Linked DNA regions of Diceros bicornis minor. The protein of the gene in region 1 purifies or fractionates together with the protein of each later gene. This does not show direct contact. Links are inferred from orthologs where the notes say so. Each region holds a gene or a part of one and is shown on either strand. Other genes may lie near its edges. The genes, in order: NLRX1 and MAVS.

Evidence for each region.
Region 2: the proteins of NLRX1 (region 1) and MAVS purify together in Homo sapiens (affinity purification with western blotting; 4 studies listed by BioGRID and IntAct, with this or other methods). This does not show direct contact. The link is inferred for Diceros bicornis minor from reciprocal best matches to the Homo sapiens genes NLRX1 and MAVS.

Annotation. Positions count from the first base shown.
Region 1 is NC_080746.1:17,831,842-17,847,279, forward strand, and holds the start of NLRX1 (NLR family member X1), read right to left. Parts: upstream 5,737-15,438; 5' UTR 5,587-5,736; intron 5,477-5,586; 5' UTR 5,370-5,476; intron 5,038-5,369; exon of another isoform or gene 5,001-5,037; intron 3,324-5,000; 5' UTR 3,266-3,323; coding exon 3,196-3,265; intron 2,643-3,195; coding exon 2,573-2,642; intron 2,103-2,572; coding exon 2,014-2,102; intron 1,459-2,013; coding exon 839-1,458; intron 445-838; coding exon 1-444. Other genes in the region: ABCG4 (ATP-binding cassette sub-family G member 4), read right to left, coding at 9,991-10,216, 10,369-10,487, 10,649-10,807, 11,948-12,048, 12,141-12,309, 12,535-12,633, 13,508-13,650, 13,844-13,958 and 2 more.
Region 2 is NC_080758.1:32,221,010-32,235,855, reverse strand, and holds the start of MAVS (mitochondrial antiviral-signaling protein), read right to left. Parts: upstream 6,169-14,846; 5' UTR 6,130-6,168; intron 5,900-6,129; exon of another isoform or gene 3,492-5,899; intron 2,740-3,491; 5' UTR 2,686-2,739; coding exon 2,569-2,685; intron 1,677-2,568; coding exon 1,502-1,676; intron 294-1,501; coding exon 121-293; intron 1-120.

The DNA.
Region 1 (15,438 bases):
CTTGCCCATGGTTCGGGCTGCATAGGCCATCAGAGACAACTTGGAGGAGTTAGTGCTGTCCAGCATCTCCCCACTGAAGTTCAGACGCAGGAAGCTGGTGTAGATGCTCGTGAGGGTCTGTCCAGCCGGCGTGGGGGCGTGCAGGAAGTGCAAGGTGGCACAGACAAGCCAGCAATAGGAGGGCAGGAAGCAAGCAGCGGCAATCTGGTGGTGCCCCTCCAGGTTCCGGGAGAGCATCTGTACCAGGTTGTCACGCTGAGCCGGCGTGGTGGAGACACCCACATCCCCAGCACCGTGCCCACAGTCTGGCTGGTTGAGGCGGAGCTGGAAGTAGAGCTTCTGCAGGTTGGTATCAGAGAAGCCACAGATCTCGCCATAGCGGCCCACATACTTGCTGGGGATGCGGCCAATGGCAGAGGGCCGGGTGGTGACCAGAATGCTGGCCTGGGAAGAGCACAGCTAAGGGTTAAGAGAGACCTTGGTGTCCTGATTGCTTTACTCCCCAGGGAGCCCCTGAAGATGGAGTGTCCAAGGATGAAGATGATAATGACCATAATCATTAAATTCACAATTACTGAGCACCTACTACGATCCAGGGCACTCTGCTAAGCGCTTTATATGCAGTATCTCATTTCATCAGTACAACTCAAGGAGGGAAGGACACAGAAGCTTGGGGAAGTTAGTGACTTCCTCAAAGACACACAGCTGGGAAGTGGAGGAGCAGGGTTTGAAGTAACCCAGAGCCTATGCGCCTACTCAATTAACACGCATGCCCAGGACACAAAAATCCTTAGGAGGCAAGTGAGGGGCAGCGGTGGCGGGGCAGGGGACCACTTACCTCGGGCAGCATGTATTTGCGCAGTAGGTTGACGATGATGGCAGCTGGCGCCTTTGGCTCCTCAGGGTCACTGCAAAGCCCTGTGCCCGCCAACTGGAAGTCGAGGTTGAGATGCTCCAAGCCATGGAGCACAAAGAGCAGGCGGGACCCGGCGGTGGCCATGAGAGGCAGAATCTCCTTCAGGGGCGTGTAGCGCTGGGCCACAAGATGGCACAAGGAGGCCGGGGCGGGGCCCAGGGATGACAGGTCCTCACAGGAGAAGGGGATGAGCAGCTCGAAGGCTGGCAGCCGCCTGTAACACCAGTCCAGGACCATCTTGCGCACCAGTGTGCTCTTGCCTGTGCCCACTGTCCCGTACAGCACCACTGTCTGCACGCGGCGCCCACAGGCATCTGGGTCAAAGAGCTGAGACAGGGCCAGTGGGGGGAGCCTGGCCGGAGGCGGCTGATGCTCCAGGGCCAGCTCCGCTGGTGGGCGAAGCAGCTCATCAGGGGTGCTCTCACGGATCACAGGGTCTACATGGACTGTGTCTAATGCGAAGGTTGGGCCAAACTGGCGCTCTTCCCTGGGCAGCCGGCTGAACCACTCAGCCAGGTTCTGGCGGTGCTGCTGGATAGCTTCTAGATGGGAAGGCAAGGAGAATGGGTCAGGGAAGGGGCAGGGAGATGCAGAAGCTTAGGACTGGGCAGGGTGGTGGTACGGTCAGACTGCAGAGTCAAGACACAGCACCAGGAGATGCAGGGGCCTAGAATGGTGCTGGGCACACAGGACTCCTTCAGAAAATACAGACTGTCCAGAAAGTTTGGAGCCCCTGTGGCAGAAAGTGGGGAGCCACAGGACGAGTGATGCTGAGCCTGGGCTGACTGGCTGCACGGTTATCTATATGTAATCTTCACCTGACTGCTGGACCCAGTTTGTGGCAAGTTAGGGATGATATATCCTTCCAAGTGCTTTGTACACAGTAAGTGTGCTTTGCACGAATATTGCAGGAAGGGACACATGGACAGATGGATGATGGGGTGAGGGAGGATGGTCCCACTGATGGATGATGGCAGTGGATCCTCTATGCCTCCTTCTTCCTGCCTGCTTCTCCCTCCAGGCCCCTCTCCCCCACCCTCCACTGGGATCCCAGCCAGCCCCTCTCCTCAGGCTCACTGAGGAGCCAGTCCTTTTACCAGCTGCAGAGGCACCCCGGAACAACTGTCCATGCCTCCCTGATGGGGGACCACTGTCCGCTGAGCTTCCGTGATGGCGTATAAAGACCCTAAGAGCAAGGAGAAGGGATGAGCTGGGACTTGGCTACTGGGCTCAGCCTCTGCACAGGCTCAGAGTCCAGGCCTGTCTGGACTGATGGACTTCTAGCTTTCTGAGAGCCAGGCCTGACCCTGGATACTCAAGTCGAGAGCCTTGTCTAACTCTCAGACCCTTCCCTGAGACTGAGGTCTCAACCCTAGCCCTCCAGCTCCCCAATGCTGACTGCCTGCCTGGAGTTCAGGGTGGCCACTGCCAGACCCCACCCACTTCCCACAGGTCCTCCCTCTGGCTAACCACTGTGACTTGTGCTGTAGATGATGTAAGTCAACTGCCTCTTAGGCCTGGTAGCTGGCTCTATACTCTCCCCACCCCCAGAAGACCAACCTCCCCCCCAGGGATCAAGCTCTCTCAAGGTCTGACCCTTCCCAAGCTACTCTGCCGTGCCCAGATGTGTTCTAAGGTATGACACTGAGGCCTCACCTAGGGGGCTCAAGGGGACGCTCCCTTTTAAGGGGCCAACTCCAGTGGATCAGGAAGGAGAAACGTTCATCTACAGAGAGAAAGAAGAAATAGCATCCAGATCCCAACCACATTTCCCCACCAATACACAGACCTCACATCTACATTAAATCCCCCAACATTTACTCATAGCATCATGTACCGCCTCTCTGTAGCAATTATGCAAATTTATACTTCATTGTGTAATTATTTGATTAACATTCATTTCCGTACACTACCCCCCTTCATGAGAGCAGGGATCACATCTGTTTTGGTTCATAATTATATACTCAGAACTTATCACAGGGTCTAGCACATAGCAGGCACTCAGTAAATATTTGTTGCATGCAAAATAAAATCAGACAAGTGTTCCTGGACTTATGTAGCTACAGGGACCCTCAAAGATCATCCAGTCCGACTCCCTTATCCTAGGATGGGAAAAAGGAAGCTCAGGGAGGTGAGGTGATTCGCCCAAGGCCAACAGCCTTGAATCACAGAGCTGGGACTAGCACACCTGGTCTCTGGATCCCTCCTCTCTTGGAGGCACCATCTGGACTCTGAAGAGGAAAGGGAAGTAGAAACAGAAACCCCTGCTTCCTGCTCACCTGCTGCCTGGAATGCTCTACCCAGACCAGGGCCCCAAGAGGCCCTGGGCAAATGGCGGCCCCACCTCATGGTGGGAAAGAAGGTCAGAGCCCAGGGGATTTAGCACACCATCTTCTATCCTGTTCCCCTGCAAGAAGAATGGTATGAACGGACCACACACACCCCGACCTTCCCACTCCCACCTCCCCGTGCAGGCCTTCCTCCTCAGGAGAGCGTCAGCCTTTCCTTAAATGCCAGCATTGCCAAAGCCCTGGCCTGGCCTCCAGATCTCCTCCCTCTCCCACATCCCCCACCTGAATAATCCCATTTTATCTCCTACCACCTATTGCCTCTCCCCTGAGTTCCAGTCTAGTGAACTGCTTTATTTAGATGTCCTTTTTTTGCTTGGCTGCCAGCAAACTCAGGTGAGTCCTGTGTTCATTTTCAGTGGCTTTTCTGAGCCAACATTTTCCAGTAACAATTATTCACTTCCCTCTGCATTTTTTTCCCTCGCTATCAGGTCCTTTTAGCTGAGTTTCAGTGTTTTTATCATTTTATCTTCTCTGTGACTTTTATATAAGCTGCCTTTGAGGCTGGCATAAACAATAAATAAATGAATGAATGAACTTCCTACTTGACATCTCCATATGGACATCCGGCCCCGGTGCTTCAAGCTTCACGCATGCAGGACTGAACTCATCATTCCCCTCCCCTTTTATTTACTTTACTGCAGATCTTTCCAATCACACAATTAATACTAGAACTTTGACCTCTTAGTCTTTAAATCCTCCCGCCTTCAGACAGTGGAACCAATCCTACTGCTTCCTCCTCCCAGTGCTTTGCCAGCCTGTTCCTATTGCATCAGACCCTCTGGGACTTCCGGGACCCCCTTCTCCTTACTGGCCTCTGCCTTCAGTCTCATCCCATTCCAATCCCTTATCCCAGCCACCAGTGGCCTCCCTAAAATCTTGGGTTACTATAGAGTCCAAACACCTGGCCCTCACAAGCTATTTTTCGAGTTTGCCCACGACCGGCACCTCATTCGCCAGGCTCACTGAATTTTTGCTTGCACTTTCCTAACTTTGTTCATGCACGTTCTTCAGTTTGGAATGACTTTTCTCTCCTGTCAGAATGCTACCCAATCTTTTAAGACCCTGCTCAAAGGTTCTCTCTCCTGGGAAGTCTTTCCTGATCTCTCTGAGCTCCCTTAAATGGAGTGTGCTACTGTTTGGCACCTGGTCTCCACTGAGATGTGGCTCCTTAAGGGGAGGGCACACTTAAGGAGAACCAGCTGCATTGGGCCCACCTGCCAGCAGTGGAGGGGCAGTCTGGGGCTGAGAGCAGGAGACCCAGGGGCTGGAGAAGGCTTAAGAGAGGGCCCTGGAAAGCTAAGAAAGCTTGAGGAAACTAGCTCCGCGGGATAACATCAGATCCAGGGCTACCAGGGCTACCGACTCAAGATGGGACTTGCGAGGGGGTGGGGGGTCGGGGGTGGTGAGGGCCATTCTCCGAAAATCACCCCAGGTCTCCAGGGCAGTGAGAAAGGGAGGGGCAAAGCAGGAAAGGTATGGGGGCTGTGGTCCCGCGGGTCCAGAGCTCCATCCCCCAAACTGGGTCCCAAACAGCTCTCCTAGTTCCGCTTGGCTTCAAAGCCCAAGGGGAGAGCCGGCCAGAATGCCCACCACGCAGCGCACGGCTCCGTCCTACCCGTCCCGCCGCGAACCCCCAGGGGCGCTTGCCCAGCACCCCCCGCCCCGCCCCCGCCCCCACCAAGCGCAGCGGCCCAGCCTGGAGCGAGGGGCGACAGAGCCAGCTAGGCCTTTACCCGCGGCTGCCGGGGCCCGGGAGCCCGTCGCCCGTCGCCCGTCGCCCGCCGGCGTCTCTCGCTTGCTCCCAGAGGCCCCGGCGCGGCGCGGCGCGGCGCGGCGCTTCCTGCGCGTCTCTGTCCGCCTGGCATCAAGCCCCGGCAGCGGGCACCGAGAGGAGGAGCCCAGGCGCGCGCGGCCTGCGGGGGTCCTGGGAGGAACGGACAGCGAGAGGGGCCGGGTGCCCCGGGAAGTAGGCCCGGGGCGGGGACTTCCCCACCCGCCCCTCCAGCGCCCCTGCCCTCCGCGGGTACAGCCCTCCATCCGGGCGGGCCCTGCCGCTAGGACTGCCCTCTGCAGGCTGCCAAGCGCCAGGCCCATCCGGTTACCTCACTACCACCTCCTAGGCAGGGCTCGCTGTGGTGTCCGTGTTACACATGATGGGACTGCAGCTCAGAAGGGTGAAATGACTTGCGCAGGTTGACCCAATCAGGAACTGGAAGAGCCAGAACAAGAATCCGGGGCCTAGGTCTTCCTTCCTCCTTCCCGGGCCTTCCTGAGGCACCCATGCGCCCCCAGGGCATTCTTCCCTCCGTGCCTCTTCACCTCCTCAGCCTACTTCTCGGCAAAGATCTGAGTCAAGGCCTTCTTGGGTCCTCCCCTGTGTACCTGACTCTCTTCAGACCCCAGACCTCTGTGTATGGCTTCTGGTGGCTTTGGTCAAGGAATAAGGAAGACTAGGGGCTGAGGGACAGCTCCCACCCAAACCTGCTCTTCTTGTCTGACACCCAATCATGGCCTCGCCCTGGGGCTTCCTGGTCCTCGAAGCCCCCACCCTCATCTCTGTGCCTCCGTACGGGGCACACGCAGGGCCCATGTAGCTGATGGAGGAGCCACCCACCACCCACAGCCAGGGCACGCCTCCACATGCAAACATACGTTTGCAATGTGCACTGAACCGAGGTGTGCAATAGGGAACTCGTAGAGAGGCACCTCAGGGCAGGGCTGGAAGGAGGGCTTGGAAGATCTCTGCCCTCCATCCAGACTGAAGACAGTGTTGATATTTCATTTGTTCATTCACTGAACACATGGTATTGGGCTAGTGCTGAGCAACCAGAAGAAGGCATGCAGGGGCCAGACCATAGCAGCTCCCTCCAGGGAGCACAAGCGATGGTACTTTGGAGGCTGCCGGAAACCTCAGGAAAGGCTGGGAGAGGAAGTTACTAACTGCCTCTGGTAAAGGAGATGACATTTGAACTGGATCTTGAAAAATAAGTCAGGGAAGGGAGAGCATTCCAGGCGGCAGAGAAATGGCACGTTTTCGTTTTAAGAGAAGTTCTAAAAGGGAAGTAGAATGGGATGAGCGGAGGGGAGATAGAGCAACGCTACGAATGTGGTCTCGGGGTGACATTTCAAGGCTGGGGGACTCCTCTAGCTACACTCTACTTGCTTAGCCATGTGAGGCAGACAGGCCCCTGGCTGCAGTTACTGGAAACAGCTCAGAGCAAGTCGTTCCCCTCCCCCGCACTTCCAGCAGGTGTGACAGCCATTGTAGGTTTTATTAATAACATATAATTTGACTGGCCTCTTGCAGACAGAAGGACTGTGAGTCATGCTGTGGGCCTCTGGATGGGCCGCCCGTGCTGTAGAGCCATAGGTGCTGTAGAGCCATAGCATGGAGAACTGCCTTAGTCATCTCTGCCCTCCAGCACCTTGCACAGGCCCTGACACAGAAGGTGGTTGAGTTGAAGATGATGATCTCTGAGTCCAGGAAGGTCGGCATTCAGGGAGAGTGGGCCCCTTTCAAAACATGCTTGGATGGGCAGAGTGCATTTATGCCCCACCTCCACAGGTTACTGGGACTGACGGGAGAAATCACAGGTGGTTCACAGTGGAAGATACTGTGCAACAGCACAGTATCTTGAGAGCTTGCTCAAGACGTTTCTCCAAGCCTCAGTTTCCTTGTATGTAAAAGGAGGAAATGATAATTCTCATCCTAGCAGCCTCATGGGGTTGCTGTAAGAATCAAAAGAGCTTTCTTCACAGATACTTAAGCCGCTCTACAAATGTTCTCTGTGCCTGAATGGCCCTTGCTGGCTCCGGAATGGCTGTTTGTCTCCTTTAGCTCTCAAGGGAACTTACAAATGTGTGAATTTATAAGTGTTTTACTCTTTCAGGAGTATTTGCATTTTAAAGGAGAAAGAGTAAAGATGAAGAATCTTAACAAAGACTGTCTAATGATGGGATTTTGTGCCCTCTGACTTTAAGGAGCCATCTACTGGCCTCATTCCAGGGAGAAGGTAGCACTCAGAATGTCCCCTAAAGCTAACTAGAATTCCAGAAGCTAGGACTCGGACTTTCTCCCACTTCCCACTCCCACCCACAACCTCCACAAGGAACAAAGTTAGCCTATCTCCAGGCAAGCACCCAACCAGTCATAGATTGGACGCTCATCCAGCCTGGAGCACTTAGCTCTGCATGTGGCACAACTAGGGTGTTCCAGGCAGCTGGCAGATTGATGCCAGTCCCTTCCTTGAGTCCTCAAGCTTCAGAATCAGGAGGGAAGAGGGAGAGACAATGTGCTGCTTCTTGGGTCATCTTGCCACCAGCCCTCAAGTCCTTCTGGACAATTGTCTACTCCAAACCTCAGGCCACCAGACCCATCTGCAGACCTGGTGGCTGATAGCTGGGCCCTGGTAAGTGTGGCCCAGTGGGAAAGAAGAGAGGAAGAAAAGGGAAAGCTGCGGTGAGCCCAGTGAGGTCCTTGCCACTCTCGTCCTAGGACTTAGCTTCCAGGGTCTTTCCTGCTTCTCACTGCCCTTCATGACCACAAACCTCCCCCCCTCCATAGGCACAACTGGGGCTCAGTGAGTTCTGAAGAGAGAGTCATGCATCACTCAGGCAAGAACATACTCTTGCAGCAGACACAGGGCACCCATATGCAGCTTGCAGATTCACCATGAGCAACATCTCTGGCCAACACCGAGAACAAGGAGTCTGGAGGCGGAAGACCTGGTTCCCAGGCCTGGTTCCACCTCTGTCAGCTGAAGGTTCTTGGGCAAGTTACTTAACCCAAGCCTCAGTTCTCTCATCTGCAAAATGTGTTGTCATGAGGGATAACACAGGGTCAGCATTAGAGTCCCTTGAGGTAATGAACATGAAGTATCTGTAAGATGTAAAGCATGATACCGATATTTCATGAGATACACATTCACTAGCCTGACGTGTACCTAGAACTTACCGTCCCCTGCCACAGGCTCCCTAAAGCTCACAGATTTTTTTTTTTTTTTTTTTTTTTGGTGAGGGAGATTCGCCCTGAGCTAACATCTATTGCCAATCTTCCTCTTTTTGCTGAGGAAGATTGGCCCTGAGCCAACATCTCACAGACATCTTGCCAAGCACTTTGAAGACCCCTCACAGCCCATGGTACCAGGTGCCAGACCCACATACATTTACACACTGCATACTGTATAAATATAGGTTTTATTAATAATGGGTGAAATCCCACAAATACAACTGGCATCTCTGCATCATGGGGGGAATCCAAGGCAGGGTGCGGGATGGTAGGGAGGTATGTGCCCAGGAACAAGGGAGAAAGAGCCTGGGGGGGTAGGGAACTCAGAAATAGAATGAGCTTGGACCCACCAGGAAAGCCAGACATGCTCTAGGTGTGTCTGTCACCCTGGTACCCAGGGCATGCTGCTCTGATGCCCAAGGGCCACCCTGGTTGATGGGAAGCGGGTGGTGAGACACGGACAGGAGTTTGACTGAGCAGCAAGCAGCTGGGGACGGAGTGGGGAGTAAGAATGCCAGCTGGATGCACAAAAGAAGGTCCATGGGGTGGCAGTGGCCAAGGCCAACTTATGCCCGTGCTTGTGCTTGTGTTGGGTCCTGAACTCCATGGAGCTAGTGCTCTGTGCCACCCCTGGCTTGGGAGGGAGGGAAGACTGGGGGGTAGACACCTGCAGATCCTGGAGACACCCTGGGCTGCACCAGCCTCATCCTTAGAGTCAAAACGGGATCCCCAGGAGGAGGTTGGCACTGCCCTCCCTGCAGCACCCACCACCAGCATGCCACCATCACTCTTCCTCTGAGCCATAGGGGACGGTGAGTGTGTGTAGGGCTGAGATTGCCTCTTCCCATGTATGTGCCTGTAACTCTGGAGAAGGGAGGGAGCGTTGCAGGACCATGCCACAGGAGCAGAGAAAGGAGGCTTGGGTCTTCTCCCACTCATGCCCCAGAATAAAGTGCTTTCTCCAGTTCCAGTGGCAGGTGAGAGAGAAACACAGACATTATTGCAGAGGCGCCACCAGGCCCTGCCCCCACCAAGGGTGATGGGACAGGAGATGTGGCATCCCATGGCCCCAGGCCTCTCCAATCCCCAGGATTGGGAGGGATGACCCAGACAGAAAACCCAGCTTCTGTCCCAGCAGATTGTCCGAATCAACGAGGGTCTGGGGGTGGGGAGAAGGTGAGGAGGAGGAAGAGACTTCCAGAGTCCTTCCCTGCTCCATTCCAGCATCCAAATGGGACTTCCATGGGACTCCACCAGGGCCCAGCCCTGGAACCCCAACCTTAGAACACCCCAGTTTACAAACACTTGTGTGGTGGGGACCCCCAGAGGGGCCACTTTGGTCAGTTGTAAGTAGGGGCCTGGAGAGCCTGGAGCTCCCAGGCAGACAACAGAGGAGGGTGCGGACGGCTGGAAGGAGGGTGGCAGCCTCCTAGTGGTCTTTGCATGCAGATGTTGGAGAGAGTGGGGAGGAAGCTACAAACTGCATCGACTTGGGAAGACTCTTGGGCATGGCAGGGAGGGCTGGAGCCCCTGCTCCCGGGGCCAAGGCTGGGAGCACAGTCCGCAGTTCACAGCCAGCCTGTGAAGGAGCCGAGAGAGGGGAGGGCAGCTGCGCCAGCAACCAGTGCCCGAGTCTACAAGGTTAAAACAGTCCCAGAGGGCTGGGGCTGGGGGCTTCCTGCTGCAGGGGCTGGGGCGCAGGCCAGGGCAAGGCTCTATCTCTCCGACTTGACCCGGTAACGGAGCACGAGGTATGCCAGTAGCCGCAGGGCCAGGAAGAAGATGCCCAAGACCAGGAAGTCCATGTAGAGCTTGGCATCCTCCACATCCAGTGCTCGCAGGATACTCTGTGGCTCCCGGAATGGGCAGTGTTCCTCCAAGCAGGTCAGGTCTCCTCGCTCCATGCCATAGATGGTCAGAATCACACCCTCAAAACCATACCTAGGCAAAGAGGGGCATCAGGGCAGGATACAGAGCATAGGGTCACTGCTCCCTGGGCAAATGCCAGAGCCCAGCTGCAAGTCTCTCATCCCTGGGGGCATGGCCTCCTGCAGGGAGGATTAGGAGCAGATGGTGAGGGAAGGAGCACTGACCTGACGTAGGAGAGGTAAGAGCTCCACTGCAGGTAAGTGGGGATGGTCTTGAAGCTGACAAAGAAACCAGAGAACAGGAGGACAGGGATGGCGGTAACTGGGCCCACAAAAGTGGCCACCTGGAGGGGAGAGAAGTGGATCAAGCTGTCACAGGAGTGACCTGACAGACATAGGACTGGGGAGCCCAGGGTTTTCCTCGGGGCCATCCCACTCTTTGTGCCAGCCCCTGCTTCCTCCCACCAGACCCCTCTCAGGGGTCCCCACCTGCCAGCCCTCCCACCTGTAGGGAGTTGGAAGCAGCTCCGATCAGCAGCCCCAAAGACTGTGCCACCAAGGCTGTGGCGGTAGCCAGGGCTGAGAAGAGCAGGAAGCGGCTGCTCTCAGCTGGCTGGCCTGTCATCCAGTACACGATGCTGCAGTACACCACCGGGCACACCACCTGGGGAGGGGCACAGGGCTGGGCAGCAGACTGTGAGCTAGAGGCATGGTGGCCAAGACTCTCCACTCCGCCCAGGCAGGACCTCTAGAACAGCTATTCCTAGAGTGTCCACGCCTAGTCTTGCCTCCACGCTCTGGTTCATGCTGTCCTCCTAGGTTGACACATGTCCCCTTCCTCCCTCGCTATATGAACCTCATTCATCTTCCAGTCTCACTTCTTCCATTAGGCCCATACTGACCAGTTCAGGCATGGTGACTTCTCTGTCCTCTGAGCTTCTAAATCCTTCTCATCTGGACCAGCTTATTCCTTATACAGTTAATTAACTAATCTACATATGAGAGCGTTTTGTCCCCCTCTGAGCTATCAAAACCTGGAGAGCAGGGACCGAGCCCACTGTGTGCAGTCATGCAAGTTGTTCCCTGCACAAGGGCACCCAACCAAGAGGCGACCAGAGGCCAAGGCCCAGCAGTGCTCTTCTCACTAAGCCATGCCCCCTTGTACAGTGCCGCGTCCACCCTGAGGAAGGGGCACCTTTTTCTAATTTGCACAATGGTGCCCTATGGATTATTGGTGGCCCTCATGCTTGGAACGGGGAGGTGGTGGCAACAACAACAACAAAAAACAGCTAACATTTATTTATGTGCCAAGTACTTTACATGTATTAACTCATTTAATCTCCCAAACAACCCCAAGGTAGATAATATCATCATTCCATTTTATAGATGGGGACACTGAAGCAGAGGGAGATTGGGTGACTTGCCCAACGTCTTGCAGCTAACAAGCACAGTGAGGCTCCAGAGCTGACACTATCCGCTACTGCCTTGAATAAGATTTAGAGAGTCATTTGTAGGGTTATTATTTTCATTATTTCTGTTTGGTTTGTCGTCAGTTCCTAGATGTCAAACCAGTTCACTAGACCATAAGTTCCACAAAGTCAAGACGATGTCCATCTTGTTCACTGCTGTATTCCTAGTGCCTGGCTCAGAGCCTGGTGCACAGTAGGTACTTACTACCTATTTGCTAAGTGAGTGGAAGTAATGGAAAGGATGGCAGGGGACAAGGTTGAGGGAGGCAAGCAAGCAAGGATGGAAGGAGCAGGACAAGAGGGAGGCATTGGGCAGGTGGGAGGAAGAGACTCACCTGAAAGGGCACATCAGCCATGGTCTTGGCCAGGTAATATGCTTTGAGACTGTACCAGTAATTGAGATGCTCCCTCATGAAGACTGCCATCTCTAAGGGGACTGAGGACACAGGCAAATTAGGCACAGCTGGCTGACACCCCAGGTCCCAGAACCCATGCCCCACGCCCCACGCCCAGGGCAGCTCAGCTCACAGGTGAGCACAGTTGGCATAAGGGCAGCAAACATGAGGAACAACATGGAGAAGAAGAGGCAGCCAGTGTTGTTGAAGACCTTGCTGGCATCGTCACCGATGTGTAGGTAGAGAAGACCAATGAGCACGCCGATCAGCACATGGGACATGAACCGTAGGTGGGTCAGGACCTGTGCGAGGGGGTCACCACGAGGAGAGGGGAGGGGTCAAAGGCCACGGATGGGCAGGGCACACTGGGGTAGGAACTCGGAGCTGCCCTCACAGGCACATAAACCCACAGGTGCATTGGTGCGGCTGCTGGGGGAAGGACCCCATCCCCATCCCAGCTGCTGGGATCCTATGTCCCAAAAAGCCAGGCCTATGCCAGCCTCCTCTCCCCCAACTTGATGCCTCACCGTGTCCCTGAGGATGGACAAGAAGGTCCTCTTGAAGAGGATGCAGAACTGTGTGAGGGTGCTGGTGGCAAAGGTGTGGCTTTCGATGGGATCCACTTCCTGGGGAGAGGAAATTGGATCAAGTGAGCCTACCCCACCCATCCACTGTGCACCCAGTTCAGTGAGTGGGAAAACTCCTGAGCCCTTCCCCAGGGCAGGGGTCCTTCAGGTCTACTGAAGGAGAATTCTCCACCCTTGAGTTGTGTACCTAGAAGCTAGCCTTAGGGGAGCGAATCAGAGCAAGATTCGGAGAGAGACACAAGAAGGGGTAAAAACTTCAGAGGGAGGAGATGGAAAGGGAGTCAAGGACACCTGTGGGGGCTACTAGGAGATCAGTCACTTCTCCTCTTTAATCTATAGAAAAGCATTTATCCTAAGGGTATAATACCTGTATGCCACCAGTTTCACAATAATATTATTGAACAATGATAATAATGATGACAACAACAGCAATAACTAACTCTTCCAGTTTTCAAGGGCTATAGTATCTCATTTAAGGAAGAGAGCTGGCACTGATCTGTACCAGCTACACTGCGAAGAGCCTTAAGTGATGATCTAATTAGTCCTGCCAATAACCCTGTGAGGAAGTCTCACCACCTCCAGGGTAGAGATCACAGTAAGCCACAATGGCCTCGAGCCCAGAGACAACATCTGTCTTGCTTACCAATGGCACTGCCGGCACTGAGGACAACACACTACAGATGCTCGGTAAGAATTTCCTGAACAAATAAATGAACAAGAGAGCCGAAGCTCAAAGAGGTTACATAACATGCCCAAGGCCACACAGCTGTTAATAGTAGATCTAGTCCAAGTCCTGGGTTCTTCCTAGTACCCAGTGGTTGTGACGCCTCTGGGGGACAGCCTCTTCGGCAGGGCCATGGTCCTGTCTCCCCTCCCTCGTTTTCCACTCTCTGCCCTCTCCTCCCCTACTCACCGGAGGGCAAGGAGGGCAGGGGGCAGGGACCTCGTTCTTCTCGGGGCTGCTCTTCTTCTCAGCCATGGCACACAGCCCATTCTGCACAGCCCTGAACAGCATGGGGTTCAGGTCTCCATACTCTCCAGAGGCCACCTCAATGACTGGAGGGCACAAAGAGGAGTGGTCAGCTAAGATCTATCCTTGGTGCCCAAGGCAAGCCAGCCCCTTCTTGGGTGTGTGGGGAAGGCAGGTAACAGTGAGATCTCTGCCCCCAGGAGCCCTGAGTACATGACCCAAGCCCCCAGGTTTGACCCACCACCATATCCCAGCCCCTACCAACAGGGCCCCACTCACTGAAGTCAGCTGGGTTGTGGTAGGTAGGGCAGTGCAAGCCGAGCCCCTTCAGATAGGGGATCAGGTTGGTGACCACACCCTTGAAGATGCATTGACCCTGGCTCAGGATGTAGAGCTGAGGAAAGAGAAGGGTGAGGAAAACAGGACCAGTGGACCAGGCAGGTCCCACCAGGACCTCTCCTGACCCCCTTCCCTGTCCCCATTACAGGCCAGTCATCACTGAGGTCCAGAGACACTCACCTTGTCAAACATCTCAAAGAGCTTGGCACTGGGCTGGTGGATGGTGCAGATGATGGTACGGCCCCCCTGGGCCAGGGACTTCATGAGAGACACCACTTGGAAACAGGAGGCACTGTCCAGACCACTGTCCAGAGAGAAGCCACCATGGGGGTGGGGTGAGGTAGGTGGAACAGCTGCTATGAAGGGGATGGAGCTGGCAGGAAGGGGGTCACTCTGGCCACCCCTACCTCCTGTCCACACTGTATGATTCAGGACTTGGAGGTACTAAGAAGCCCAGAGCACCATTCGGTCTAACAAGCATATATTGAGCACCTGTTGAATGCCTGGGATTACAATGATGAATAAGTAAGACATAGACTCTGGTCTGGAGGGAGAGAAAAATAGGCACACAGATCATTTGAGATAATGTGGAACATGCTATAGAAACATGGGGTGAAAAAGAGGGGGAGGATTCAGCTCTGAAGTACAAGGTTGTTGAAGGGTAATCAGAGAAGATTCCTAAGTGAGTCTGGAAGAAGAAAGAGCTAAGCCAGGTGAAGGTGGAAAGGCAGGTGTGGTGGTGAAGGGCATTCCAGGCAGAAGACACAGCATGTGCAAAGCTTAGAGGCATGAAACACATGGCTTGACTAAGGAATTATAAGCCATTCACTATTATCAGAGCGTAAAATACAAGACAGCATGAAGCAAGATGTGAGGCTGGAGAAGTAGGTTCCGACCAGGACCTTGTGAGTCCTCTGACTTTACTCTGAGGGCATATGGGAATCAGTGCATGTTTTTAAGCAGGGGAGCAAGTATTGCCAGACTTGTCTTTCAGAAAGTTCACTTGGGCTGCAATTTGGAGGAAGGATTGGCTGGGAGAGACTGGAGACAAGGAGAGAGGAGTCTGTTGCAGAAATGCAGGCAAGAGTTGATGATGTCCTGAACTTAGGCCCTGGCACCAGGGATGAGGGTGGGGCGAATCTGAGAGATCAAAAAAGGAGATAGAATCAGCAGGACTTGGTGACTGATTGGCTGTAGGGGAGGAGGAGAGGGAGGCATCCATCACAGAGGAGGACATGGGGATTTCTGCCTGGGTGAAGGATGGGGCTGCTACACTAACAGGATTGGCAGGGATAGAGACGAGGAGTGAGCCCATATCTTGACCCCCGGAGGCTGCAAACACAGGCTCTGGTCTCCAGCAGTGGAGCAGATTCAGCCTCCAGCCCTGGCTCAGGGCTGAGCGGAGGGGGCATCCTGGTGGGAAAGGAGGGGAAGAACTACCTGGTGGGCTCGTCAAAGAACATGACAGGCGGGTTGTTGACCAGCTCCAGGGCGATAGCCAGGCGCTTCCTCTGCCCCCCGGAGAGCAGGGCTGT
Region 2 (14,846 bases), on another chromosome or scaffold:
GAGCAGAGATTAGGCATGATTTGTTGGGGGGAAGGGGAGGGCTTCTGGAAGGCTGCGTGAGCAGAAGTGGCAGATAGGAACACAAAAGCAGGGAGCCCAAGGTCGATTGTGAGGACGCACCTCTTCCTGGTACTCCGGCGGCTGGGTGTCCTGGACAGGCATGGGGTAACTTGGCTCCTCCTCTCTGCAGCCATTGGCGGGGGTGCTGGGGGCCACGGTGGGTATGGAGGGCCCTGGAACCTCAGCAGGAACTGACGGTGGCTCCAGTGGGGCTGCAGGGCGGTTCGAGGTCCCTGGAGGACAAATATATAGCAATGTCAAGGAGGACTCAGGGTTGCTCCCAATGACAGGAGAGGCCTGGGTGTTCTTGGACCCACAGGTCCATGGCTATCAGCTCCCCACAGCTCCAAAAGGTGTCTTGATGTGGGATGCATTCCTCAGAGGAGACAAGCTTCACTGAGTGGGAGGGAGAGAGGAATTGGGGAGGACAAGGAGAGGCAGGAGTGGGGCAGGAGCGTGTGGGGCGCCTCATGGGCCAGACTGGGTCAGCAGTCACCACTTCTCTGTCCCCAGGCATTCTGGGACCCAGTGGCTTTCTCCTCCTTGTGGGTGGCTGTCACCACCAACTGACCCCTGACCTGATGCTGCCTCCTCAGCCCCTCCCCTTTACCCCATCCCAGGCCCCCCCCCCCACAAATGAAGAGACACATTAGGAGGAAGGATAGGAGTAGGGAACGGAAAGGAAGGGAAAAAAAGGCAAACGTGCGGATATTCTAAGGCTGTAAATCTGAGCAGGGTCTCAGGAGTTGCCTCTAGTCTGAAATACAAATAAGGCTGGCTTGAGTTTTCTTCCTGTCTTGGCCTCTCAGACCTGATGTCATCAAATCCCCTCTGGGCACTTGGCAGGGAGCATTGAGAAGAAGCTGGGGAGTAACTGGACCGCTGGGGGTGGGCAACCAAGAAGGTTCTAAGGGAAACCAGGGGGAGGCGAAGAGATGTGCGGAAAGGAAGGAAGGAACCCAAGAAGGAGAAAGAGAAGGCAGTGAAGAGAGGGGAGGAGAAGAGAGGAGTGGAGAGAGGGAAGGTGAGCTGAGAGAGAAGAGATGGGAGGAAGTGAGAAAGGGGTCAGTCAGAAAGGAGGCAAACGTCACAGCCACAGAAACTAGAGGAAGCTCCATTTGCTGAGCACATGGGAGGTGCCCAGCGCCAGCTAAGCACTCAACATGCCACCGCCCCATGGTATCCACCGCAGCCCTACGACCTAGATGTTGCCATTAGCCCCATTTTACAGAGGAGAAGACTGAGGCTCAAGAAAATTAAGAGACTTGGCTAAAAGGACACAGCTAATAAGTGGCCTGGGATCTACACCCAGGCTTGTCCACTGCCCAGGAGTGATGGGAGGGAGAGTGACAGAAGTGACAGGGGTAAGGGGACAGGCAGAGCGGAGGCCAGGGGAATCAGAGAGGGGGTTCCAGGAGGAGGGCCGGGGCAGGAGGCTCACGGGGCAGGCTGCTGTGGTAGACCCGGGCCACTTCATCAGCGAGACCAGACAGCTCACAGGCCCTCAGGGCCTCGATGAAGGAATGCACCCAGCCATTCCGCCGCCGAAGGCTGTTGAAGAGCTCCAAGAGGGTGTCCTGGTTCCCCCAGCGCTCATAGGTGGCCCGCAGTCGGTCCTGGAAGACAGGAAGACACACCCCACTGCCCGGCTCAAGCCAGACGGCCCTGCCTCCTTCCCCACTCAGCTTCCCCCACAGCTGCAGAGGGGTGCCCCGGAGAAAGCACGAGAGAGGCAGCCATCTGAAACTGGGTCGCAGTGCAGGACAAGGCCAGGGCTGAGCCTAAGTTTCAAGGTAGCTACCAGGAAACAGGCTCTTACTGTGTCCTAGGCTCTGCGCTCAGGACTTCATGTGAATTATCTTATTTAACGCTATTATTACCCCACTCTACTGAGGAGAAAACTGAGGCTTAGCACATACAAACAACAAGAGAGTAGAAAACATTTACTGCAGAACGAGGGGACAAGGTATCATTACAAACCCCAAAATAGAAGAGGGAGGAGCCAAACCCCATCAGGCACAGACCTGAGCACTACTGGGATCTGCGTGGAGGAAGCAGAGAGCCGTGAGGTTCGATCTGAGAACTGCTAAAACTGAGCGGGGGTCTGGCCCACTTCACTAGGGGCCCACAGCAAGTTCTGAGGCGCTAGCGCAGTCTGGCTCTCATGAACTCTCAAAACGGGGTCCCATAACAAGGAGAATGGAATCAAAACTGAGCAGGAACAAGGACAAGAAAGATGAAGAAAAAGAAGGCTCTGATAAAAGTGGGCCAGGGGACCGGAGCCCGGAAATCTCAGAGAGCCAGCGCCATGTTTTTGAGCACTACACCAAAATGACACCAGAGGGAGCTCAGCGAAGCTGGAAAGGTCACCCTGAACCACACTTCATTCCAAAACTTAGAAAATTGTCAAGGAGAGGGAGAAGGAAGGAGTTGGCCCTGGCTTGGGTAATGCTCTGGAGTCCATAGCCCTGCCTCCAATCAGTGGCTGGCTGTCACGCCCTGGCTCACCTGGTCACTTGCGGTGAGGCAGGACAGGTAAGGCAGAATCTCCAGAACATGGATATTGCGAAAAGTGCTGTGATGGTGGCGGATATACTGAAAAGTCTTGTCCTCGGCAAATGTCATTTCTGTCCAGGTTCTGAAGTGACAGAGGGCTCTGGCCCGTGACGGGTGGATGGACTGCGAGAGAGGAAAAAAGATGAAAGAAAACAGCCCACACATGGCAACGGGGTTGGGCATGGAGTTGGAGAAAAGGCAATTCTTTCTTTCTCAACTCTTGGGAACTTTTGCTTTTGTCTTTAATCATCCTATTTTATGACTGCCTGAGTCCCAGAGGCCCTCTGTGAATTTGCTTACAAACAAATTGAGGAGCCCAAAATAATCAGATCCAGAAGATCCAGGGCCCATTTCTGCCCTGCAGTTTGGTCAGGGTTGGGGAGGGCTCTGGCTTCCCCCGCATCCTCCCCAGGTCTGTGTGTGCCCTAGCCAAAGACAACAAGAGGGCTCCACCTAGAAGGGCTGCTTCTTTGGGGTATACTGGAAGAAAAAGAAGATGACGCCCAACATGATAATAACAGGATCCATCCTAATTTAAAGGTGAATAAAACGAAGTACCAACAAATTAAGGGGGCTTGCTAGTTAGTGGAAGAGCAAAGAACGGAGGTCTTCCAGATCCAGGATCATGTTCTTTGCAGAGCACGACCGCAGGTCCACTCTTAAAGCTTGCTATATACATGTTCTTAGGGCAGGAGGCTGAGTTCCCCTCACTGTGTGAGCCGGGGCAAGTTACCAGTCTTTTCCAGGCTTTTCCTCACCCATAAAATGGCTCAGGGAGCTTGTTTGGACGATACAGTAGTTCAGCCTTACAAGCTTGAAATTTCAAAGTGCCTCGAATACAGGCCATCGCTGCTGCTTGCTTATGTGGCACTTACCACAGTCTGCGATTACAGATGTGTTTGTTTCCTTGTTTCTTATTTGCCTCTCTCACTGGGGAGAGCTGCAGGGAATAAGACAGACAAGACCTCTGCCATCATCCAATTTATATTCTATTGGGGTGGGACAGATAGCAAATCAGTAAACATATACATAAACAAGAATCCCAGATAGTAATCAAGGTCTCCGGCCACGCTGAGGCCGTGTCCCACGTACAGCGACTGGAAGGATGTGCAGCTATGGCATACAACTATCTACTGGGGCTTTGGGGGAAAAAATAAATAAATAAAATTAAAAAAAAAAAAAAAGGTTATAAAGAAACCAAAGCAGGGTAATGAGACAGAGCCCCTGGAGAAGGGCGTGCTGCTTGAACTGGGATGGTCAGGGAAACCTTTCTGCATTGGCAACGTTTGAGCTGAGCTGTTCTTGGCTGTGAGAAGATCGGTGTTTCAGGCAGAGGCCACAGCAAGCGAGAAGTCCTACGGTGGAAATGAACTTGATATGTTTAAAGGTTAGAAAACAGGTCAGTGTGGTGGAGGTCTAGAAAGCTAGGGGGAGGGGTAGACATCAAGGTTAAGGGGTTGGGAGGGGCCACTCACGTAGGGTGTTATAGGAAAGGACTTTGGTTTTATTTGGAGTACAAAAGAAAGCCATTGGAGGGATCTGAGCAGGGAAGGGAGAGGATTTGACTTATGTTAAAGACTTCTCTGGAGGCTGTAAGGACCCTGGACTGTGGAGGGGCCGGATGGAAGCAGGGAGACAAGTCAGGAGGCCAGGGCAGGGGACACACGACAGGTACAGGTACGGCTGAGATGGTAACCATGGCGAGAGGTGGTTGGATTCTTGGCGTTTTGTGGATGTGGAGGTGAGGGAGAGAGAAGAATCAAGGGTGACTCCTCAGGCACTGGGTGGATGGTTGGTCCAAAGAATCTAGCAGAGGAGCAGTGGCACAGAGGGGACTCCAGAGTTCCATTTTGAACAAGTGAAGCTTGAGATGCTATTGGATGCCCCAGTGGGTTTTCAGGAAAGGAAGGGGCGGCAGAGGAGAGAGTGCCAGGCTGGAGTAGAAACATGGGTGTCAGGCTTGGGTGAAACCCCTAGGAGACAGTGCTGCAGAGCAGAGAGTGCCCAAAAGCTGCTGAGGCCACCAATCCCTCACCACATGGGAAATGGGGCAGCAGTCCTGTCTACCAGCATCACAGCCTCACATTGCATGACTCACTTTGCCAACCACCAGGAATGTATCGCAACATCCCTAATGGGGCAACTGCTAATGACAGAGGTCAGGAGGATGGTGGGGGCAGGGGTCCTTTGAGACTTCAGATGAGCAAAGAACAACTCTGTGGTGGCTAATAGACCCTTTTCTCCTTCCCCCCATGGCATCCAGGGAGGTACCAGGAGAGAGTCGAGTGATACATTCTTCTGCATCCTAGCCTCAGCCCGTAAGGCACAGAATTTGGGGGGTATGGGGGTATGATGCGGTCCAACCAAAAAGAAAGGAAGCCCGTAGCTGTTCACATTTATTGAGGGTCCACTATAAGCAGGCACATCCTAAGTTTCTTTCACTTAATCCTTGGCACAATCCCATGAGAGGAGAAGTGATGCCACGTTGCACAGCTGACCAGTGGCCCTGAAAGGACTTGGAACCCAGGACTTGCTGCCTCGTTGAGGCTCACCATACACACTGCAGGGCATAGACGCCCCTGCAGCAAGTATGAGTCACACAGCACCTGGCTTCAAGCCCTGGGAGGGGCCAAGGCCGCTGCCTGGGTGAGGGTGCCCTTCAGAGGATGCAACATTTATTCCTTTCTCTCTCGTGGGAAATGGAAATCTTTCAGGCAGGGCAGGACACTAACCCTGCCCGCCGCGGTTCCAAGGTCGCTGACTGTTCTTCCAGACGTTTTTGAGGCTCCACAGTATCCATACGGAGAAGGTTGTTTTTGTTTTCCAATGTTTTCCTAGCACCGCCGTCGCGTCTCCGAGATGGCTGGCAGAGTGTTTTGGACCGACGCGGCAAGGAGAGTTTCCCACCTGACCGCCCCAGAGGCTCTGAGCGCGCTCCAGAAAGAAATACCCACCCCCGCGGGCGGGGCGAGGCCTCACAACCTCGGCTCCGATTCCTGGATTCCTGGGCCCGACCCAGCTTCGCGGAGGACGGGGAGGCTGTTCTTCCGAGCAGGTGTCACCACCGAGAACTGTCAAGACTCAGAGGAAGGCGGCAGCTCCCGACCCCCAGGCGCGGCCGCGGCCCCAGAGGTTTGCGCACCCCGGCTAGGCCTCGCCCGGGGTCACCCTGGGCCTGCGGGCGGCTGGAGGAGCCCAGCAGCAGACGCCAGTCTCCTGGCCTAACCTCGCTGTATCCGGAGCAGAAGCCTCGCGCCACCCACCTCCCGACCCCGGTACCGGATGCTGCGCGTGGAGCCCTCGCTGCCTCAAGCCCCGTGTGCCTTAGGTCCCACTCTTCCCCAGCCCCTCCCGCCCTGCCCCCTCCCCGGCCCGCGCGCGCCCACACCACGTGCGCCCCGGCGGACTCCAAGTACCCCTCGGCTCCTGCCGCCACGGGCCACCTCCACCTCCCCGAAAGGCGTCCGTGCGCCCTGAGCCCAGAAGACCGAGCGCCCGGGGCGGCCAGCTTACCTCGGGTAGCCACGACCCGGCGACCGACCGCCGCTGACAGCCCGGAACCCTCCCCCACAGGGAGGGAGGGGTCGGGTCGGGGCCGGGCCGCGCGGCCATTGGCCAGGCGGCGGGGGCGGGGCTCGCGGCCCGCGAGAGCCTTGCGGCGCCCGGCGCTCGGCGGTGGTTTGAGAGCCTGGCCTCGCGGGACGGGCGCTCGGGATAGACCTGGGTTCCTGGGGGGGCACGGAGGAGCAGATTATTTTCTTTCCTTGTTTTGTCTCGAGCAACTTCCAGGGGAAGTCCAGGATCTGGCTAGAAACCGAGTGGGCGGCCGATCTCGGAGTCGACGGCCACCTCGGTCTCCGCGCTTCCTACGCGAAGCAACCCCTCCTCCGCGGAGTAGTTTGAGGGAGTGAAGATCTTTATGTCGTTCGCTCCTGGGCGCCCAGGGCCTGGCACACAGTTAGTGCTCAGTAAACCTCGGGTGTCAAGCAAAGTGCACAGGGGCGCGAGTGCCCAGCCAGGCGAGGCACATGCTGGGCCTGAAGAAGCAGGATCGGGGCGGGGTAGGGGTGGGCCGGGTAAGTGGTGCAGGGCAGGGGCGCCAAGGTTGACTCGCCAGTCACGCTGGCTGTGGGCCCGGAGTGCTGTGTGGGAAAGGCCTCTCCACCTAAGGCAAGGGTCTGGGGCCAGTACCTCCCTGCACTGCTTGCCAACAGCCTCACCATTCCTCTGGGGCAGAGGTCAGCAATTACTGAGCGTTCACTATGTTCCAGGTACAGGCTTAAAGTCTTATACCTTATGACCCATTAAATACTCTCACAATAACCAGGTAGAGGTTTATTTTTCCCGTTTTCAAGAGAGGTTAAAAAATTTGGGAAAATGGCAATTCTTACTAAAGTTACATATATGCCAACCCTATCACCCAGCAACCACTCCTGAGTATGTGTCCACCTAGAAACACACACAATAGATAATGTTCATAGTGGCTTTATCTACAACAGGCAAACTCTGGAAACAACCAAATGTCCATCAGCAGGACAATGGAGAAACAAACTGTGGTGTGCTGACACCATGGAATAGCATACAGCAGTGAAAAAGAACAAACTATTGATACACACAACATGGAAGAATCTTACCAGGATGAATGGGCACCATGACTAACCAAGCCAAGCACAAACAGTACCTGCTGTCTGTCCCCAGTTACAAGGTAAGATTCAAACACAGGCAAACCTCATCTACATAAATAGAAATCATTTCACTGGTTACCTCTGGGTGTTGAGGGGTGGGGTAGAAGGGAGCCTTCTAGGGGGATGGAAATGTTCTATATCTTGATGTGAGTGGTGGGTACATGGGCTTGGGCATATATAAAAATGCATCAGCTTACACTTAAAATTGTTACCAAAAAAATTGTTACACTTTATACTGCAACTTAAAAAGGAAGAAAGAAAGACAAATGAGGGGTTAAGAGATTTGGCAGAGATCATGTGCAAATGCCTGAGTACATACCTGTCTCCAAAGCCAGTACTCCCAAACCGAATTGCAGGAAGATGCCTGAACTCTTTTCATGTGAGATTTTATTACTTTACTTGGTAACCCTGTGGCTATTTCACAATGTTCAGCATTTACAAAATATTAATATCACACCTGAACTCAACTAACCATAGGTTAGTTGGCCAGCTCTGTCTTGTTTAGCCAAGACAGGGTGAATGTTGATTGGTTCAAGAATTACTCCTGCCTGCTACCTACCCCAAATCCAGTGACCTCATATCTAATTCTTGCAGGAAGAACATTGGGAGTGTAGCGACTGGCTTCCAAATGCAGTTGTCACCCCTGTCTTTGCTGGAACTCGAAGGGTATTAAAAAAATACAGCATCCTCAAAAACACAATACTTTCTTAGTCCATTTGGGCTGCTCTAACAAAAATACCATAGACCGGATGGCTTAAACAACAAACATCTATTTCTTGGTTCTGAAGGTTGGGAAGTCCAAGATCAAGGTGCCTGCAGATTCCATGTCTGATAAGGACCACTTCCTGGTTCATAGACGCAGTCTTCTCACTGTACCTCATATGGTGGAAGGAGCAGGGGAGCTCTTTCAGGTCTCATTTAAAAAAGCACTAATTCGGGGCCGGCCTGGTGGCGCAAGCGGTTAAGTGCGCGCAATCCGCTGCGGCGGCCCGGGGTTCGCCAGTTTGGATCCTGGGAGCGCACTGACGCACTGCTTGGCAAGCCATACTGTGGCGGCGTCCCATATAAAGTGGAGGAAGATGGGCACAGATGTTAGCCCAGGGCCAGTCTTCCTCAGCAAAAAAAAAAAAAAAAAAAAAAAGGAGGATTGGCAGATGTTAGCACGGGGCTGATCTCCTCACAAAAAAAAATAATAAAATAAAAATAAAATGAAATAAAAAAGCACTAATTCCATTCTTGAGGGCTTCACCCTTATGACCTAATCACCTCCCAAAGACCTCACCTCCAAATACCATCACATTAGGGATTAGGTTTCAATATAGGAATTGCGGGGGTGCATAAACATTCAGTCTATAGCAGATATCAACCAGTAGGATGGCTATTATAAAACAAACAAACAGAAAGTGTTGGCAAGGACATGAAGAAATTGGAACCCTTGTACACTGCTGGTGGGAATGTGAAATGGTGCAGCTGCTGTGGAAAATAGTATGGCGGTTCCTCAAAAAATTAAAAATAGAATTACTATATGATCCAACAATTCCACTTCTGGATACATACCCAAAGAAATGAAAGCAGGGACTCGAACAGATATCTGTACACCCGTCTTCATGGCAGCATTATTCACAACAGCCAAAGGTAGAAGCAACCCAGATGTCTATTGATGAATGAATGGATAAACAAAATGTGGTATATTCATACAATAGAATACATTATTCAGCCTTAAAAAGGAAGGAAATTCTAACAAATGCTATAACATGGATGAACTCTGAAGACATCATGCTAAGTGAAATAAGCCAGTCACAAAAGGACAAATATTGTATGATTCCACTTCTATGAGGTATCTAGAGTAGTCAGATTCATAGAGACAGAAGGTAGAATGCTGGTTGCCAGGAGCTGGGGGCAATGGAGAATGGAGAGTTAGTGTCTACTGGATAGAGAGTTTCAGTTGGGGAAGGTGAAAAACTTCTGGAGATGGATGGTGGGGAAGGATGCACAACAATGTGAATGTACTTAATGCCACAGAACTGTACACTTAAAAATGGTTAAAACAGTAAATTTTATGTATATTTTGCCACAGTAAAAATCCTGGCCTTGGTGATTTCCTGCCACCTTTGTCAGGGAACCAAAGGAGGACACAACATCACATCTATAGTATTCTTCCTAAAACTCACAATTGGAGGCAAATCATGAAGAAACATCTAACAAACCCCAAATGAAGGACATTCAATAGCTGTCCTGTCCAATATAGCAGCCACTTGCCACATGTAGCTATTTTAATTAAAATTAAATAAAATGTAAAATTCAGTTCCTCAGCCTACAAGCCACATTCCAAATGCTATTTTCATGTGGCTAATGGCTGTCATATTGGACAGCACAGATATAGATTTTATAATTTTCTATCATCCCAGAAAGTTCTACTGGACAGTTAAAGTTATATTGGACAGCACTGAACTGCAGAATAACTCTTCAAAAATGTCAAGGCCATGAAAGACAAGGAAAGACTGAGGAACTGTTCCAGATTAAAAGAGAATAAAGAGAGGTGACAACTGAAAGCAACATGGCACCCTGGGTTGGACCTGAAATAGAAAAAGAACATCAGGGGCCGGCCCCGTGGCGTAGCAGTTAAGAGCGCGCACTCCGCTGCTGGTGGCCCAGGGTTCAGATCCCGGACGCGCACCGACGCACCGCTTGTCAAGCCATGCTGTGGCGGCACCCCATATAAAAAAGTAGAGGAAGACGGGCACAGATGTTAGCTCAGGGCCAGTCTTCCTCAGCAAAAAGAGGAGGACTGGCATGGATGTTAGCTCAGGGCTGATCTTCCTCACAAAGAAAAAAGAATAAAGAAAAAGAACAACAGTTGGACAAATGATGAAATCTTACTAAGAGCTTTTGGATTAGTTAATAATTTGTATCAGGGTTAGTTTTCTGGTTTTGATCATTGTACTGTGGTTATATAAGATGTAAACATTTGTATTATTTTTGCAACTGTTTTGTAAGTCTGAAATTATTTCAAGATGAAAATTAAAAAGTAAACTAAAATTTAAAAATCATCTTTTGACCCTTTCTGGCTATTTATATTATTTTATCTTTTATTGTTGATTGCATTCTGCCCTATTTCATGAGTAGAATTCATTGATCATTGTCCATTTACTAGTGAAAGGTGAGTCTAGAAAGTGATCTGTGCCCCAGCACCGCCCCCCCCCCCGGAAGGCCTCGGAACCACCCCACCCCCACCCCGTAAAGCTCATCCGGGGGCAGGTGGCCCATATCCCCAGGCCAGTGCTCTACAGAGGGCTGTGGCTCACATGTAATGACTCAGCAACCACCAGCTCACGTTTCCCCCCAGAGAGTCAAGTCAGGCCCAAAGATAGTGCCAGAGGGCCCCAAAAAGGGACATGTTCTCAGTCTGAGTCCCTTCAGGGAACTCTCCAACATTGAAAAACAAAATATAATCCCTACCTTTACAACCTCATTTCAAATAAGTTTTTAAACTGTTATTCTTTAAATTATTTTATTTTTTCATACTGTCAATTTTTTTTGGGGGGGGGAGGAAGATTAGAGCCTGAGCTAACATCTGTGCCCATCTTCCTCTACATTTTTTATATGTGGGACACCGCCACAGCATGGCTTGATAAGTGGTGCATAGGTCCGCACCTGGGATCCGAACCTGCGTAGCCTGGGCCACCGAAGCAGAGCGCGCGAACTTAACCACTATGCCACTGGGCCGGTCCCCACGCCATCAATTTTATTACAAAAAAGTTATATATGTTCAATAAAGCTGGGGAAAAATTAATATATGCATATATAGTTAATATGGGGAAAAACAGAAATGTTTGATGAAGAAAACCAAAATCTGTACTCATAATGCCACCACCCAAAGGTAACCACTGGTGACACTCTGGTGTCTTTTCTTCTAGTATTTTCTTTTCTATACTACAAGGTATCTGAATCCTGTGGTTTCCTGAGGTCACCCTTGCCTTGATCAGCCACGTGAGATGGGTCAAGCCATGATCTGGGACGTAACAGGGACTGGTATGAGCCCACCTTACCTCTTAGTGGTCTCAGGAGAAGGAGGGGGATCTTGGTCTAGGGCAGCTCCTGGGTCAGGCCCTGCTGCAGCAGGCTTCTCCAGGGCTGTCCAGCCCCTGTGGTCAGCATGGCCTCCTCATTGGCCTCAGAGCATTGTGTTGCTGGTCACCTGCCTCAGGGGCTGCCATCCTGCCCTTCCTTACTGAGAACCACTGACATAGGTGGCTTGGCAGCAGACGTTTACTTGAGGTTTGGGGGTGAAGACAGGGAAATGAGTGCATGAGCAGGGCATGCCTTTAAAGTTAAATATCAGAGTTCCTAAAATTCATGGGCCTCCCCCAATGCAGGAGGCTTCTCCCTGGCCACATCCCTCTGTGGCCTCAGCTTCCTGCCACACTGCTGGTGCCCTGCTTGATTTCAGCCCCTCTTACTATCTCTTGTCCTAGGTCCCCTCCCCCAGGATCTGGAGTTCAGTGCAGAAAAAAGAAACTACCACAGGTGTTTTGTGCATGGAAGGCTTTTGTTTCGTGAAGCATAATTTACATTCAGTGAAATACATCAATCTTAAGTGTGCAACTTGATTAATTTTTATCCAAGTAAATACCTGTGTGACCAGCACCTAGATCAAGATCTAGAATATTTCCATCTCCCGAGAAAGTTCCTTTGTAGTCCTTCTTTATCAATCTCCACCTCCAATCTTTATTCTGATTCCATCATCATAGTTTATTTTGCCTGTTCTTGAATTTAATATAAATGAAATCATATAATACCTACTGTTTTGTGTCTGGCATTTTCCACTCAGCGTGTTTTTGACATCCATCTATGCTGTTGCATATATCAGGAATCTGGGTTTTTTTTTTTCATTGCTGAGCAGGATTCCATTACATGAATATACCACATTTTGTTTATCCATTCTATGTTTAATGGAATATTTGGGGTTTTTCCAGATTTAGGCTATTAGGAATAAAGCTGCTATGAACATTCATATATGTCTTTTTCTGGAGTTATGTACTCATTTAAAAATTGCTGGATGATCAGGTAGTTTAGCTTTATTCGAAGCTTCTAAACAGTTCTCCAAAGTGGTTACACCACTTTACACTCCCACCAGCAGTGTGTTGAGGGTTCCAGGTGCTCCAGTCCAGTCCACTTCTTCACCAACACTTGACATGGTCAGTTTTTTCACAGGAAGGAATTTAATACAGGGAATTAGTTGGTTACAAAATTGTGAGAGGGGCTGGAGGAACAGGAGTCAGGGGGCTGCCACTGGAGTAACTGAGCTCAAGAGCACATCACCATAACCATGGTCAGAAGTGAGGAGGCCACTGCTGCCACCCCCAGCTCCACACGGCTCTGTCTCAACTTCTGGTTGATGCAGGAATGCTGAGTCTAACTGCTGAGACTGGCTCTAGACCCTCACATCTTTGTCTCCTTGCTGTGAGAAGTGACAGCAAGGGCCAGCCTCACCAGGTTAAGTTCGTAGTGGTTAAGTTCGAGAGCTCCACTTTGGTGGCCCAGGGTTCCCAGGTTCGAATCCTGCTTGTGGACCAATGCACTGCTGTGGTGGCATCCCACATACAAAATAGAGGAAGATGGGCACAGATGTTAGCTCAGAGCCAATCTTCCTCACCAAAAAAAAAAAAAAGAAGTGACAGCAAGAAGACAGCCTCTGCCCCCCAAATCTCTGACAGAGCATCTAATTGTCAGACCTTATTTTATATTCATAACTCTAGTTGCAAAGGTGTCTGGGAAATGTAGTTTCCAGCCTCTGCAAAATATAGGAAAGCGCCCTATAAGGAGGTAGAGATAGTTGTTTTAGTTGGCTTTTGCTGAGTAGAAAAGCTACCCCAAAACATAACAGACTAACATAGCAACTGTTTAGTTAGCTCAAAGTTCTGCAGGTTGGTGATTTGGGGCTGGGTTTAGCTAGGCAGTTCTCATCTTATCTGGCCTCACTCATGCTTTTGCAGTCAGTTGCCAATTCTGTTGGGAAATGACCGGCCTAGGATGGGCTCAGCTGGGATGGATCATCTCTGTTCCACATCGTCTCTCATCCTCCAGCAGGCTAGCCTAGGCTTGTTTTCATGATGGCTGGGCAGGTTTCCAAGAGAGAGCACAAAATGGTCTTTAGGTCTGGGCTCCAAAATGGCATATCACTTCTGCCACATTCTGTTGGCCAAAGCAAGTGACAAGGCTGACCCAGATTCAAGGTGAGTGCAAAGAGACTCCACCTCTTCCGGAAGATGATGTAAAGCCACTTTGCAAGGGTATGAATAAAGGCTGGGATGAACAGTCAGGGTAATCTACCACACTCATCCACAGTACCCCCCATACCTTCCCCTCCCGGAACTAGCCAGCAATCTCAGGTACCTTTCTTTTTTGTGCAAAGCAATAAGATTCCCTGTATCTTGCCTTTTCTGTCCCTTTATTTTGACCTGTCTCCTGGATTCCTTAACTTTATTTTCCAAATCTTCTAATTAATTTTTAATGTAAGCAATAATATTTTTATTTTCTGAGAACTCGTTCTTGTACTCTGTTGTTCTTGTCTTTGCTTTATGGATGTGATATCTTCCTGAATCTAATTACTGAGAACAGTAATTAGAGAGCCTTTCTTTTTTTTTCATTTCTCTTATGTTTCCTGCATGGTTTTCCTCTGAAACCATTTTTTGCAGTTTGCTTATTTAGGTTCTCTTTTGTGTTGCAGGCTTTCCCCAAATGTCTGGTGAACTTTGTTTGCATTAAAAATGAGGCAATAGGGGCCAGCCCGGTGGCATAGTGGTTCAGTTCGTGTATTCCACTTTGGTGGCCAGGGGTTCACCGGTTGGGATCCTGGGCGAGGACCTACTCACCACTCATCAAGCCATGCTGAGGCGGCATCCGACATAGAAGAAATAGAAAGACCTACAACTACAATATACAACTATGCACTGGGGCTTTGGGGAGAAAAAAGAAAAAGAGAAAGATTGGCAACAGATGTTAGCTCAGGGCCAATCTTCCTCAAAGAAAAAAAAAATGAGGCAATAAAAAGCACTGAGGGAGTTCTGTGCACATCCATGAGTTGGCTTGCTTAGGGGAGGGGCCAAGTGGGACAGGTCAGAGCATGAGGGTCTCATCCATGGGGCTGTTCTGTTCTTTAGAGCATGGGTGCTTAACCTGGTTCGGGCCAGTGACTCCTTGGGCTGTCTGGTAAAGTCTATAGGCCAGAACAATGTTTTTAAAGGCATTTAAAGATACATAGAGTTACCAAAAAAAAAACAAAAAACCCCAATTATATTGAAATATAATTATCAAACTATTAAATAAATGTTTGTTTCAGTAAATAAATATTTAAGTAGTGTCATGCATAAATGATAGTCCAAGGTATCTGCATCAACTCTATTGTGATATGAAAATATCTATAATTTCTTTTGGTGACCAAGTCTCACATTCTGCTAATACCATTGTGGCGGACATTTAAAAAGGAAGGACATTACAAAAGGCATACTTTTGGAGGGATGATGCATATGTTCATGATCTTGA